3 linked regions of the Schizosaccharomyces pombe genome follow. The protein of the gene in region 3 purifies or fractionates together with the protein of the main gene of each other region. This does not show direct contact. Each region holds a gene or a part of one and is shown on either strand. Other genes may lie near its edges. The genes, in order: sap14, usp102 and prp11.

Region 1 (3,109 bases), on a different chromosome or scaffold from region 3:
CGACGTTTTGTTCACTTCTGACGGGTCGGAAATGTTGGTGCTTAGTTATGGTGCGGAGGTATGGCATTTTAATGTTGAGCAACGTTCAGTCGTTCGTCGTTGGCAAGTTCAAGATGGTGTATCTACCACTCATTTTTGTTTGGACCCATCTAATAAGTATTTGGCAATTGGTAGCAAGAGTGGTATTGTTAATATATATGACCTCCAGACATCCAATGCGGACGCTGCACCAAAACCTGTCACTACATTGGATAATATTACTTTCAGCATAAATAGTATGAGCTTTTCTCAAGATAGTCAAGTTTTAGCTATCGCATCTCGAGGAAAGAAGGATACTCTACGACTCGTTCATGTTCCCAGCTTTAGTGTGTTCCGTAATTGGCCCACCAGCGCTACGCCTTTAGGCAGAGTTACATGCCTAGCTTTTGGTAAGGGTGGTGAGTTATGTGTTGGTAATGAAGCTGGAAGGGTTGGACTTTGGAAACTAGCTCATTATGATTTGAAGTTTGTGCCAGATAAAATTATTAATTGGGAAATACGGTTGGGCAAATTTGGATACGTTTTATTAGGGATTCAAATCTTAATACTACATGTAGACGTTGTTATATTATAGATCAATGCATTACATTATTATTACTAAAAAGCTTTAAGCGAAATATAATAAAATTCAAGTCCTTATAGTACCTTTTTTATACCTAGGTTCGAAACACTAGTAAACGATTGTTTAATATGAGCCGATTCATTTTTCTGCTGTATGTTCTCTTCAACAGAATTTATAGAAAGAGGAAATCTATTACACGTTAATGGAGTCAATATCAGACTCCTAATTTGTTTGTTTTTTTTTGGTAAATAAATAGTAAACGTTCACTGAACACCGTATTTTTGCTTAACTTGTTCCAAGGCGGCATACCTTGCTGCCAAATCTTGACCATCAACCTTAGCTCTTTCAGGGTTATAATAATGCACTAAAAAAAAAGTTAACAAGAAGATATTAAAAAGCCGTTAGAAAGGAGAAATTAAAATTAATAGTAGCTAATACATTCCCTAAGATAACGTACCAACCAAGTATCTATCCATGAAGTTGTAGCCAGAAAGCTTTTCGCAAGCTCGACGAGCGTCTTGAACGTTTTCATAAACCACAAATGCAGTACCTCTTGTTTGAACCGTATTCCCCAGCCTTATTTGTCGTACAGGACCATACCTACCAAAAAGATCGTACATCTCTTCTGCTGTAATTTTAAAAGACAAGTTCTTGATGAATAGGATAGAATTGACTTCTTGATTAACTGTAGATGGAGGCATTTGTTATTTTTACGATCTTAACACTTTTTGTTAAAAAAATCAAATTTCGAAAAGAAATGATTTGGTTTGCTTTGGAAAGGATAAATATTCCTAAAAGGTTGGTTGGGATCAGATGGAAAATACTCGTTATCACAGCTTGGAGATTGATGTTGTATAGTCAATCCTATACGTGAGTTTAATTATAGTAGAAAAGATTGAGACATGAATATTAAAGGTTACGTTTCGTGGTTTGGACAAGAAGAGGTATATGCTGGGAAATCGAATGGACCAACAGATCGTAGACAAAACGGTTCAACCTTTTACCAAAATTTTCCTCTTCTTTTACCTGGTAACTCCAAATGTCAAATGCAATCCTTAGTTCATGAGATCTTTGATCAGAGTTGAAACTGACATGGCGGTGATTTCAATAGAGAGTCAATTTAAAGTGATTTTCAAATTATACATAACTAGTTGAAAATCATAAACATTTTTATTGGTATTTTTTGCTTCCTCGTTTGTCTATCCTACAGGAAATAGGTTTCAACTTTAAAACTGACAATTGCAAAGAATAGTTTGATAGTATAGTTGTATCATCAATTTATATTTTTCCTTATTTCTTTACTTTCTTTTAACTTATACTCTTGTTTGGCAATGGGACTTTTATCAAGGAAACAATTTGGTATCATTGATCTTTTGCCTACAGACCAACTAGTTCATCAATTTCTTCTCAAGTTCTTTTGAAATTTCTTAAATTTTTTATTTCCTGATCCCAGAAAACTACATCTGCAAAATTAATGATTCATTTTACGCTTCCAATGCCATGCTTTCGTATATAAGTGATAGCAACAGAGACACTAAAGGGAAAGGATAGCTTTGTTGAATATGTGGATCTTACTGTACTTCATTTTATCTAATTTGAAAGATTTCTCATTGCTCTTTGCTTACAACTGCTCTTAATTGAGAATGTGCTGCATTGCAAATGCTGTTTTGAAGCAATTTAGGAAATTACAGAAAAAAGAAACTATAGTAGCGTTTACAATTTCGAAAACTATACTAATAATTTTAACTAATGAAGCTAGCTATATTCATTATGATAAGCAGGAACTAAGTATTTAAAAAAGTAAATAATGTTGTACAAAAACGAAATAAACCAACTAACGTTAAAGTACGAAATTAATTGACTCATCTATAACCGTTCTTTATTTTTTTTATTTTTTCAATGAATAAAGCTATTGGCATTGATTGCTAATCTGGTTTGATATATGATATACATATTTTTCTTTTTGAAGTATTGAACAATTCTTTTTACGCTTCTAGTAGATTAATTACCATTTACTCTTTTTTTAAAAAAAATAAATAAATAAATAAATAAATAAAATTTTGTATATTCAAGTGGTTTCTGCTCATTAGCCTAATTCGCAAATAACTCTAGTTTAACATAAAATTTAACTTGACGAAATGCGAAAAATGTCTTGTACGACAAAATTTCAAGAGTTAGGATTGAGAGAAGAATTAAAAAACAATAGAACAATAAAACTATTGCACGTAACCCCTAAAACTTGTTGAAATTGGCAATGTTGATTAAATACCTATATCTGAATTAATTTACGAGAGAAAAAAACCTAAACGAAAGATTAATAAAAGCGCATATTTAAGGAAAAATTTTTCTATGAATAATTTCTCTTTTCATCCATTAATCGCCTTCTTGACCCATTTCTTCTCTTGTATTTACATTTTCATCTTAAGTAACACGTCACCTACATCAAGCATCCAGGTAGTCATCGTGGCAAGCATGAATTTGCTCTTTCCCCATATTCGCTACTGAGGT
Region 2 (3,753 bases), on a different chromosome or scaffold from region 3:
TAGAAAGTTCTTTGCTTCATAACAGTACAATTCATAGTAAGAAAACTCTTTGTATTACTCCTTAGTGCTAACTTTCTTTCTTACCAAATAGGAACGCTGCCTCTTTCGGTGTTTCGAGAAATAGTAGAGGATATGGTGAAACAAAACCTAGCAGAATGGACTGAAAAGCGAAATCCTAAAGACGTGTTTTGGGTATACTGGAGGTCTATATCTGAATGGGGGAATATGATCTTGAAATGGGTAAGCCATTTTCTGCATAGTCGAAAGTACTAATTGTTTTACAGCTATCCGATATGGGACGAGAAGGGTCTATATGTACATTTTACGAACTTCAAGAACAATATAAAGAGGTAGATTGTTTAGACGAAGTACTCCTCCATAAAGTTCTTGAGCTACTAATGAAAAAAGGAAATATCGAATTAATGAAAGGATCGTCTGGAAAATATAGCGGGTTCAAGGTACTGAAAGCTTAACATAATTACATGCTTGATATACATAATTTTGGGCCTGCAAAATTGCATTATATAATTTATATACACAAATGATCAATTATGAAAATGATAGGAGCTTTATATATTTCGAAAGGTGACTTTTGGATGATTATTGCAACAAAAATTTGAAAGAGGGAATTAAAATAGTTGCAGAATCAACTACGAGGCCTTCCGAGCGAATGTTACCTTTATTTGATTTCCACTGAGGGACATACCTGTTGTCCCATTTTTTGCGACCGTTGCTTCTCTATCAGAATCGTATTCAACAAATGCAATTCCTCTTCTACCGGGAACCATACGTACTTCTTGAAATCCAGAAAACGCTTCGAAAATTTGTGTAAGGACGTCTGCGTTTACTTCTTGAGGGATATTTTGTAACAGAAGTACCTTATTAGGAGGCAACAAATCTTCATTAATTGTCGATTTACGCTCAGCTCCAACATTACGTTTAGGAACCGGCTTTTTATGAGTGGGTTTGGGAGCTGCGGGTTGAAGAGCGCTAGTCCGTTTAAGCATTTCTATAATATAAGGTTAGTAAAGTGAGGTCTTTGATTTTAGAATAAAAAAGATTATACCTCTCCTATTTTTCCTATCTTTTTTCCTAGTTTCTATTTCTTCAGGAGATTCTCTTTGTACGATAATATCGCTTTTAGATTTACTGTACTGTATCATCATGGGCTTTCCATACAAAGGGTATCCTTGTAAATCCTTTAACGCTCGTGACGCGTTCTCCAAGTTGTCGAATACTACAAATGCTTGACCGCGCATTCGCAAAGTCTTTCTTGCTTGAACATCTATGACTTTACCATAAGACCCAAAGAGATGTTCTAAAATTCGTTTCAACACTACGATTGTTAGAAATTAAATTAAATTAAAACAATTTAAATTAGTGGCATACTAGTAAGACGAATTTTTTCTTCAATGTTGCGTATGTAGAGAGTCTCTGACGGTGTTTGAGAGTCTGTCTCTTTAGGAGATGGTTGTTGAACCTCTTGATGCGAATTTGTTTGAGGATCCATTGGATGTTAAATATAAAAAGATATTCACAGTGAATTTCGGCACTAATGTTATGATGAATCAAAAAACACGAGTATTTAAAAATTGGAAGACAATCCAGCTTATGGCATTAAATTCCAGCTAATTACCAAAAGAAGTAGTCTTTCAGGTACCACCTTGTTTTAGTAAATATGGCTCGTAATGGTTGACTTTACATTCAATTTCAAAATGTAAATTATAGCCAGCATTAATATTTCGTTGGATGTATTCTAAAAGCGCTTGTTTTCAAAATACAGTACTCTAATGTACCAAATATCAAATGGAGAGAAACACTCCTTATCCAAGTTAAAGATCGCGAAAGGAAGAACTTCAATAAATGGACGTAGTTTTAACACGATAACGCATCGCTATGTTTGACCATGTTGTTGCTCATTAATCTTGTTTTCAGTTGCAGAAAAAGTTACGAATGCTTGAATAGTGAATACGATAATCTGTACAATAATTCAGTTTGCCTTGTATTTTGTTACAATATGGTACAAATCCTTATATAATTTACGAGATACCTAGGTAAAAGAACCGAGTTTATGCGTTAATGATTTACCGTGCAGACAAATTTTGAACGCGCAAACAAAAGAATAAAAATTTTATAAACAACAATTGATTTAGTTACTGAAAGAGAGCGTTTACCCAAAGTAAAGAAAATGATATAAATATTGTTATTTGTAAACTGTGGATAATATGGGAATCGATGGTGTACTGGACGCGCAAATAACGAATTTTACGAGCCGTCCTATTAAGAAATACAACAGCCGAGAACAGAAGAGCAGTCACAAACCATTTTTTATTCCACAATATTAGATTGTATTAACACAAATAAAATTTTTTTTTCAAGGCATTCTCTACAATATCGAAGACATTCAACGTATAAAGGTTAGTCTTGATTCAAATACTTACCCTTGTAATTTCAATTTAATGTTAGACAAAGTTATTGCCCCAACGTCTCTGGAAAACGCGGATGCAAATTGTGGAGGAGGCAGAACTGGAAAAAGTATCAGCCAATCATCAACATGTCTGAAAAAAAATTCCAAGATATTTCTAAGCCTAGCTCGTAAAAACGGGTGACAAGACATGTATGGCGCTATCGAAGTACGAAAATAGAAAATTGCCAGACGATATTAGAGTAAAAGACACAAAAAGAATTTCATTTATTCACCCTATTATAATTTTTCAGCTTTCATCAATGTATGCGTACTAACTAAAAAAATTATCGGTGGTCATTTAAAAACAACAAAACCATCCAGCATTCATCACATGTCTTTCATCCAATCAAATGTAGTTATAGCTATTATCGTCCAATAGATTGCAGAGGCGGGATCAAAATCCCCTTAGGCAAAATTGGTAGGCTTCTCCACAGTTTTTCTCAGACTTGGGAAGAATGGAGCGGGGTAGGGAAATATAGCAAGACCCTGTCTTACAATGATTGGGCAAAAGCTTCACATATATGGGAGCAATATATGTACAATAGGCGCTTTTCACGGACATAGCAAACCTTGTTAGTAATGAGTTGGGCGTATTTAAGGAGGTCCCAAGGCCTCAAAAGTCGTTTACCAAGTTCATAACTTTTTAGGGACTACGTTAGTTAGCGATGAATTAGTGATGATTTAGTGTGCAGCGTTTACATTTTCTTAACACAGACAATTGCAGTACGGGTTACAGCTCCATATTTCTTCTATAGTCCGAATGAAGTATGGGCGTACACGTAATCAAGGGATAGAAGTATCCTTTTACACCGAACTGTTCAAGAGCGAATATATCGCTTGAGAATTCTGTTTTTTTTTGAAAAGGTTCATTGTCCATCCATATTTACCTTCTTGTTAGGGAGTCTCGCTAGGATGGTTGGTGTCGCGGTCGATGTATGGTCTCCAGGTTGGGGGCCCCTAGCTATCCTGACTTGGATAGGACAGAGATAAGATACACGTTGCGTGACGTTTTCTTAAAAAAAAAGAGCACGGCTATGCTCTATTCATGTTACTAGTTAATACTAGAGGAACTCCGCATTTAGGTTAGTTCCGTTATGGACTCGAATATGTGGAGCTCGAGAATGCAAGCAATCGAAATTTGAAGGATTATGGTTCCGTAACGTTAATTGTTCTATTGCCAGCTTTGAGATAGTCATGCAGCGATGAGAGTATGCTGTGTTTTAAACTTTGATATTTGCTGGTTCCAATACGTATGGCCACCATTGGTATTATTTTTTCGCCTTGCG
Region 3 (5,891 bases):
TAGGTCAGCGCACCTATTAAATAATTAACAAATGTAAAAACAGGATTAAAAAGGCAAAAAAGAAAGAAAAGAAGGAGCCTACAGCACCCCGGATTCCCATGTTGTCTCCAACCATAGTACTAACGAGGCCCTCAGACGCTTAACTGCAGTGATCGGACGGGAACTGGTGTTTTCGCCTAGGTATGGCCGTAGACAATCTACGTTTACTTTAATGCCCTTTATAATAAAAAAGAAAATAGTAAAAAAAATAAATTTTTGCATTCATTTAATACAATGTACATCGAAATTGTAATTATATAACTTGATGCAGTGTTAGTACAATATAGTTCGCATACAGTTAGTTTGTTTAGGTCTTATGCAAATAGTCGGAGAAAAATTAAATAATTGAAGGTTTTTACTTCTACGCTAAAAAATTCTGATTTTTATAATTTTAACTTCTTTTAAACCCATCAATCATGAAATCAAGCATTCACTGACAGAACCTTTTTCTCAAATAAACAACTATGGGATTGATTGCCTACTATTTGTGTTTAGCACTGATAATTGAAGGCCAAAAATTACATTTTATTTCTTCTCTTCACAAAAGATTAAATTCAACCATTAGTTTATTGTTTACTATAAATACTGTGGATTACAAAAAGCAAATACCCTAACACTATTTCAGGAAAGCAGTTGGAAAAGTACTCGCTTTAAAAATGTGAATAAAATCATTCTTTCCCGCTTTTACTTTGCGATGAAAAAAGATACATGCCTTAATTTTCATGCCAAAATCCATATATGTTTAGTTAAAATAATAAATATTGACATTTCTAATCATTAATTTTTCATAACCACTTTTGCCCTTCCCCAAAAAAGCACGTAACGTATTCAATTGATTAATTTTAAACGAGTGTAGGTCTCTTTTTCAAAAGGATAGACCGAAAGTACTAGACAACTGTGTATCGTCCAGAAGCACTTGGTTTGTTACCTCCTTCCAAACTGTGGTTAATTCCTTCAAGAAGAAGCCGTCTCAATTCAGTGATGGCTCGGTTAACAACAAGCTCAGATGGACCTTCAATCCACAAGTACAACTTTTCCTCTCCTGGTTCAGGGTTTTTACCTGGCAAGTAGAAATTACCCTTAGTAGTGATACTTGTGCCAGTTAACTCCGTTACATGTACAATATTTGTGTTATTAGTAACGGCCCAACGAGCTTGTTGAGGATAGTCATTAATTTCCATTTTAGCTTTATACTCATCACCATCGGTTTTTATTATAGAAATTGGCTGAGTAAGCTTGTTAGATTGTGCAGTTTGGTTGGCAAATGCACGAGCAGCAATTCCACCCACAGCAGCACGAACTCTATCGAGCGTGGGATCACCGGTAGATTTTTCAGGAGTAATCTTTTCCAACGGGCTTTTTGCTTCAGCTTCAGTCTCTACATCTTCCTCGTCCTCACCATAGGCCTTACGCTGCATTTTACGCTCAGCATTTCGAGTTTCATCCAGTCGTGATAACCCTTTGCCGCCAAAACCTCCACCCGCTGCTTTCTCTTTACCAGCCTTAACTTTCTCGAGGAATTGGGAAGCAAGAGTTTGTAGTTCTTTTGGAACTGGTTGTTTACTCATCTTTAAAGCCTTGGCAATGTCTACGGCGTACTTTTCCTGTTCTGGGGTTATAAAGGTAACAGCTACACCAGTATGGCCAGCACGGCCTGTACGACCAACACGATGCACGTAATCCTCCATATGATTAGGGCAATCATAATTTACCACCAGCTGTAAAGATTTAACGTCAAGCCCACGAGCAACTACACTAGTTGCGATTAATACATCAAATACTCCTGCTTTATAATCACTGATGGTTGAGTCGCGATCGTGTTGATCCTTACCGCCATGAATTGAATTACTTGTATACCCGCGTTTCATAAGGTCCGACAAAAGTGCATCCGCAGACTCTTGTCTATCCACAAAAACAAGTGTACGTACATCAAGTTGATTGTTGTACAACTCACCTAACAGCTCTAATAGCCGAGAAAACTTGCTTTCCTCAGGCCGTACTTCAACGATTTGCTCAACCTCAGAAGCAACAACCGACCGTCCGCCAACCGTAATCTCTACAGGTTTCTTTAAAACTTTCCTTGCAAGGGCTTCCATAGCACGAGGAAAGGTAGCTGAAAATAGTACGGTTTGCCGATCAGGTCGAATATTGTTAATAATTCTCATGACTTGCGGTTCAAATCCTAAATCAAACATACGATCGGCCTCATCCAAAACCAAATAAGTGCAGCGGTGTAAGTTAGTAACACGTCCTGCATTCGCACTTAAAACATCAATCATACGTCCAGGAGTACAAACTACGATTTCTGCACCGCGTTTTAAATCAGCAATTTGGTCTTTAATAGGGGCACCTCCATATGCACAACACGCACGAATGTTCAATAACTTTAAGAAAGGTTTACATTCGCGAAAAATTTGCACAGCCAATTCACGAGTAGGAGTCATTATTATTGCAATAGGACCCTCTCCTGTTTTTAATGGGCGCTGATCTTTGATGTGTCGAAACATAGGAAGAAGAAAAGCAATGGTTTTTCCACTTCCTGTTTTAGCTACGCCAATTACATCTCTGCCAGAAGTAATCGCTGGAATTGCTTGTGCTTGAATAGAGGTTGGTTTTTCGTATCCCAAGGAATTGATCACGCTTATGGTTTGGGCAGATAAACCACATTGACTCCAACTAGTAACTGGCTTCGGGCAATCAATACCACGAATTTTAATACCATCTAAAGAAGCCCGTAGTTCATCAACTTCAGCTGGTGACAGATTTTTGAGCTCTTCAGGTTCAACATAGAAATCCTTTTTGAAATCTTCATAATTTATTTTTGAGTGATCAACTGTGATTACGTCTTTCTTTTTTGATCGTTTTGCAGCAAGAGCAAGTAAATTTTCTTCCTCTTCCAAAGTCTCTGAAATTACCATGCGCTCGTCATCGTTTGCATTCGGATCAATGACCTCCGTATTTAATAAACCAGGCCTTATGGTATCAGTGGTACCAACCAAAGAGGCCATGTAAGCATCTAAAGGATCTACTTCGTCTTCCTCCATGCTAGCTGCTTGCTCATTTCCTAGCATACCCCGGTCTTCTTGGTCCCAAAGCTCCTGGTAGTCTTCAAGATTCATACGCCTAGGACCATCTTCATCATCCATGTGAACTCGGTTATTTCGCTTCATATCCGAAGTATCTTTTTGGCGATTAATCTCAAACCCGGATATACCAGTTGAAGGCATAGCATTCTGGTCTTTGGCTGTAACCTGCGGCTTTGTATTCAACTTGTGCTCCTCCTTCTTGGAAGCCTCCTGTTTTGCCTTTGACTCTTTCCACGCTCTAACTCGTTCTAGCCTGGCGAGTAGCTTAGCATCCGTAATTTTGTCTGACGCTACTGGCTTTTCAGCATTTCGTTGATGATTATTTTCAACAGCTTTATCCTTGGGAATTACATCAACTCGTGGATTTTCAGATTGAATTTCTGAAACACTTAAAGAAGCACCAACTCTCTCAGTTCGATCAAATCGAGAACGTCTAGGCTGAGGCTTTATTTCAGTTGCGGAACCTTGTAATACAGGATTTGTTTCATCTGATTTAGTTTTATTGTCTACTTCTTTTTCCTCAGCATGTCTATGAGATGTTGGTCGCGGTGACCTACCAATATACTGATCGGGAATATTCTTTGATCTCGCATACTCTCGATCTCGCTCTTGATACCTTTTTTCGTAACTATACTTATCATGCTTCCAAGAATTATCTCTTCTAATTTTATTAGACTCGTGAGAACGAAAAGAATCATGCCTATCTCGTCGACTTGATACATCGTCTACGTATCGGTTATACCGTGCACCCTTTTGATCTTCAGAGTCATCATATTTTCGGTAATCTCTTCTTTCTCTATTGTAGGATCGCCTTGGAGGCGACCTTGATCGTGTTCTTCTAGACATCAAAAACTGGGTGTTGTGATATGTACACGAAGAGTTTTAATGAGGCAAGTAAACGACATAAATTACTTTATATAGCAATATATATTATGCATATGATATTAGTTCACTACTAGATATAATTTACATTATTATAGTTAACCTCTTTATGATTATTTATACAAGTCATATGGGGTTTATTAAAAAGCAATGAATTTGCCAGTTAAGTCGGTAAAGCAACCTGAATTCTGTGCAATTTATAAATCTTAGAAGTAATATTCATTTTTTATTTCAGTTATTTAAAATTTAATTATGGTTCCCTACACTGGACCTTCAACTTAACCAGTAAAACTCGGAAAAATAATCAACACTGGTATATAAGTAATTTTTTCAACACCGCTTACATTTTGATTGTTGCTGAATTTTTATTGCTTTTGTACTAAAGATAATATCGGAAAACCGAGAAATAAAAGACGATAAAAAATTTTATTGATTGGCGAATAGGCGAGTTAGCTCTTTTTATTTACAATATTTCTTTTTTTATGTAAATAACTATTGGGGTTAAGGCTTGGAATCCACAATTCTTGATTACTAGTAAGGTACTCTTTCAAATGTCTGTTAAACAGTCATCTACAATAGAATGTAATAAGTCAGATAATTTAGAGCGTACATAAATTAAGAAAAGCCATTATTTCCATTCCAAAAAAGAAAAAAAAAAAAGCATAATTGAAATTTACATAATGTTATACTTTTTCTATAATGTTTATGTTTTTGCGCTCTTCGACCAATAATATTGACTTAGCAGAAAACCAAAAAACGAAAATTCTTTAGTAATGCCAAATGAAAGAGAAAATTATTTATGTGTATATTTATTTTTATTTTTTTTAAGTGTATTTTTTCGCCATTTACTCGATTTAACAGTGATAGTATTAATAGCTGGCATTATTTTTCTGGTATTGCTTTATAATTTGATATACTTAATACTGGGATAATTGTTTTTAGGATGAGCAATGGTTATACGCATGTAATGAAGTTAGAAACCGACAGCAAATAAATCTTACATTTTGAAAGAAAATTTAAAAAATATGGTTGTCCAAATACAAGCGATGGGATACCCCAACGTGAATACATGGAAAGATTGAATGTAGAGTATCTAATTAAGGAGAATTAAGCTAAGGCATGAACTATGCCCGAAACTGAGCAATGGTTAAAGAGTATATTAAGTAATTTATTTTACCCAATATATTGAAACTAGTTTAACCTCTAGTTGGTATGTATAGTTGGTTGCTCATTTTTACTGATTGCTGTATTCCATTCACTCTTTCATCTTTAGGTTAAATATTTGTATTTGGTTCTCCTTGGATACTTTTATCAGTTGGTAATCATTTTTAAATTCATTGTCTTATATAGGATTTTTGTTTTGTACAGATTCTTCCTTTCATCATCCTTGAGAGTCTCTTAACTTCACGATCCGCCTAAATTCCTAAGAAGGAGTCTATCTCATGCTACTGTTTTTTATTTAACACATTTGTGAACGGAAATAGAAATAGAGTTGATTATTCCATCCAAATTGGAAAATTTTCGCATCAAAGTATTTAACAGCTTTCAGAAATCAAAATTGCAAATTGGAAAATCTCTACGAATAACACCACCATTAAATATGGAAACAAAGGTTCATTTGCCTCTTGCTTACCAGCAGCAGGTTTTTAACGAACTTATTGAAGAGGATGGTCTGTGTGTAATTGCACCAGGTTTGTCATTGCTACAAATTGCAGCAAATGTACTCTCATATTTTGCAGTTCCAGGATCCCTTCTTTTGCTTGTTGGAGCAAACGTTGATGACATTGAATTGATTCAACATGAAATGGAAAGCCACTTGGAAAAAAAATTGATTACTGTAAATACAGAAACTATGTCGGTTGACAAACGGTAAGCTTTGGTAAC

The links.
Region 1: the proteins of prp11 (region 3) and sap14 purify together in Schizosaccharomyces pombe (affinity purification with mass spectrometry, with the first as the bait; one study listed by BioGRID). This does not show direct contact.
Region 2: the proteins of prp11 (region 3) and usp102 purify together in Schizosaccharomyces pombe (affinity purification with mass spectrometry, with the first as the bait; one study listed by BioGRID). This does not show direct contact.

The regions. Positions count from the first base shown.
Region 1 is NC_003423.3:2,049,394-2,052,502, forward strand, and holds sap14 (Pre-mRNA branch site p14-like protein), read right to left. Parts: upstream 1,376-3,109; 5' UTR 1,303-1,375; coding exon 1,059-1,302; exon of another isoform or gene 966-1,058; coding exon 865-965; 3' UTR 604-864; downstream 1-603.
Region 2 is NC_003423.3:3,422,722-3,426,474, forward strand, and holds usp102 (U1 snRNP-associated protein Usp102), read right to left. Parts: upstream 1,759-3,753; 5' UTR 1,511-1,758; coding exon 1,390-1,510; exon of another isoform or gene 1,337-1,389; coding exon 1,067-1,336; exon of another isoform or gene 1,010-1,066; coding exon 651-1,009; 3' UTR 501-650; downstream 1-500. Other genes in the region: ESCRT II complex subunit Vps25, read left to right, coding at 1-36, 92-240, 285-473. UniProt on the Schizosaccharomyces pombe protein: Involved in nuclear mRNA splicing.
Region 3 is NC_003421.2:517,620-523,510, reverse strand, and holds prp11 (ATP-dependent RNA helicase Prp11), read right to left. Parts: upstream 4,000-5,891; 5' UTR 3,972-3,999; coding exon 927-3,971; 3' UTR 614-926; downstream 1-613. Other genes in the region: rad16 (DNA repair endonuclease XPF), read left to right, coding at 5,608-5,876. UniProt on the Schizosaccharomyces pombe protein: ATP-dependent RNA helicase involved in pre-spliceosome/complex A assembly and mRNA splicing. Bridges U1 and U2 snRNPs during pre-spliceosome assembly and enables stable U2 snRNP association with intron RNA.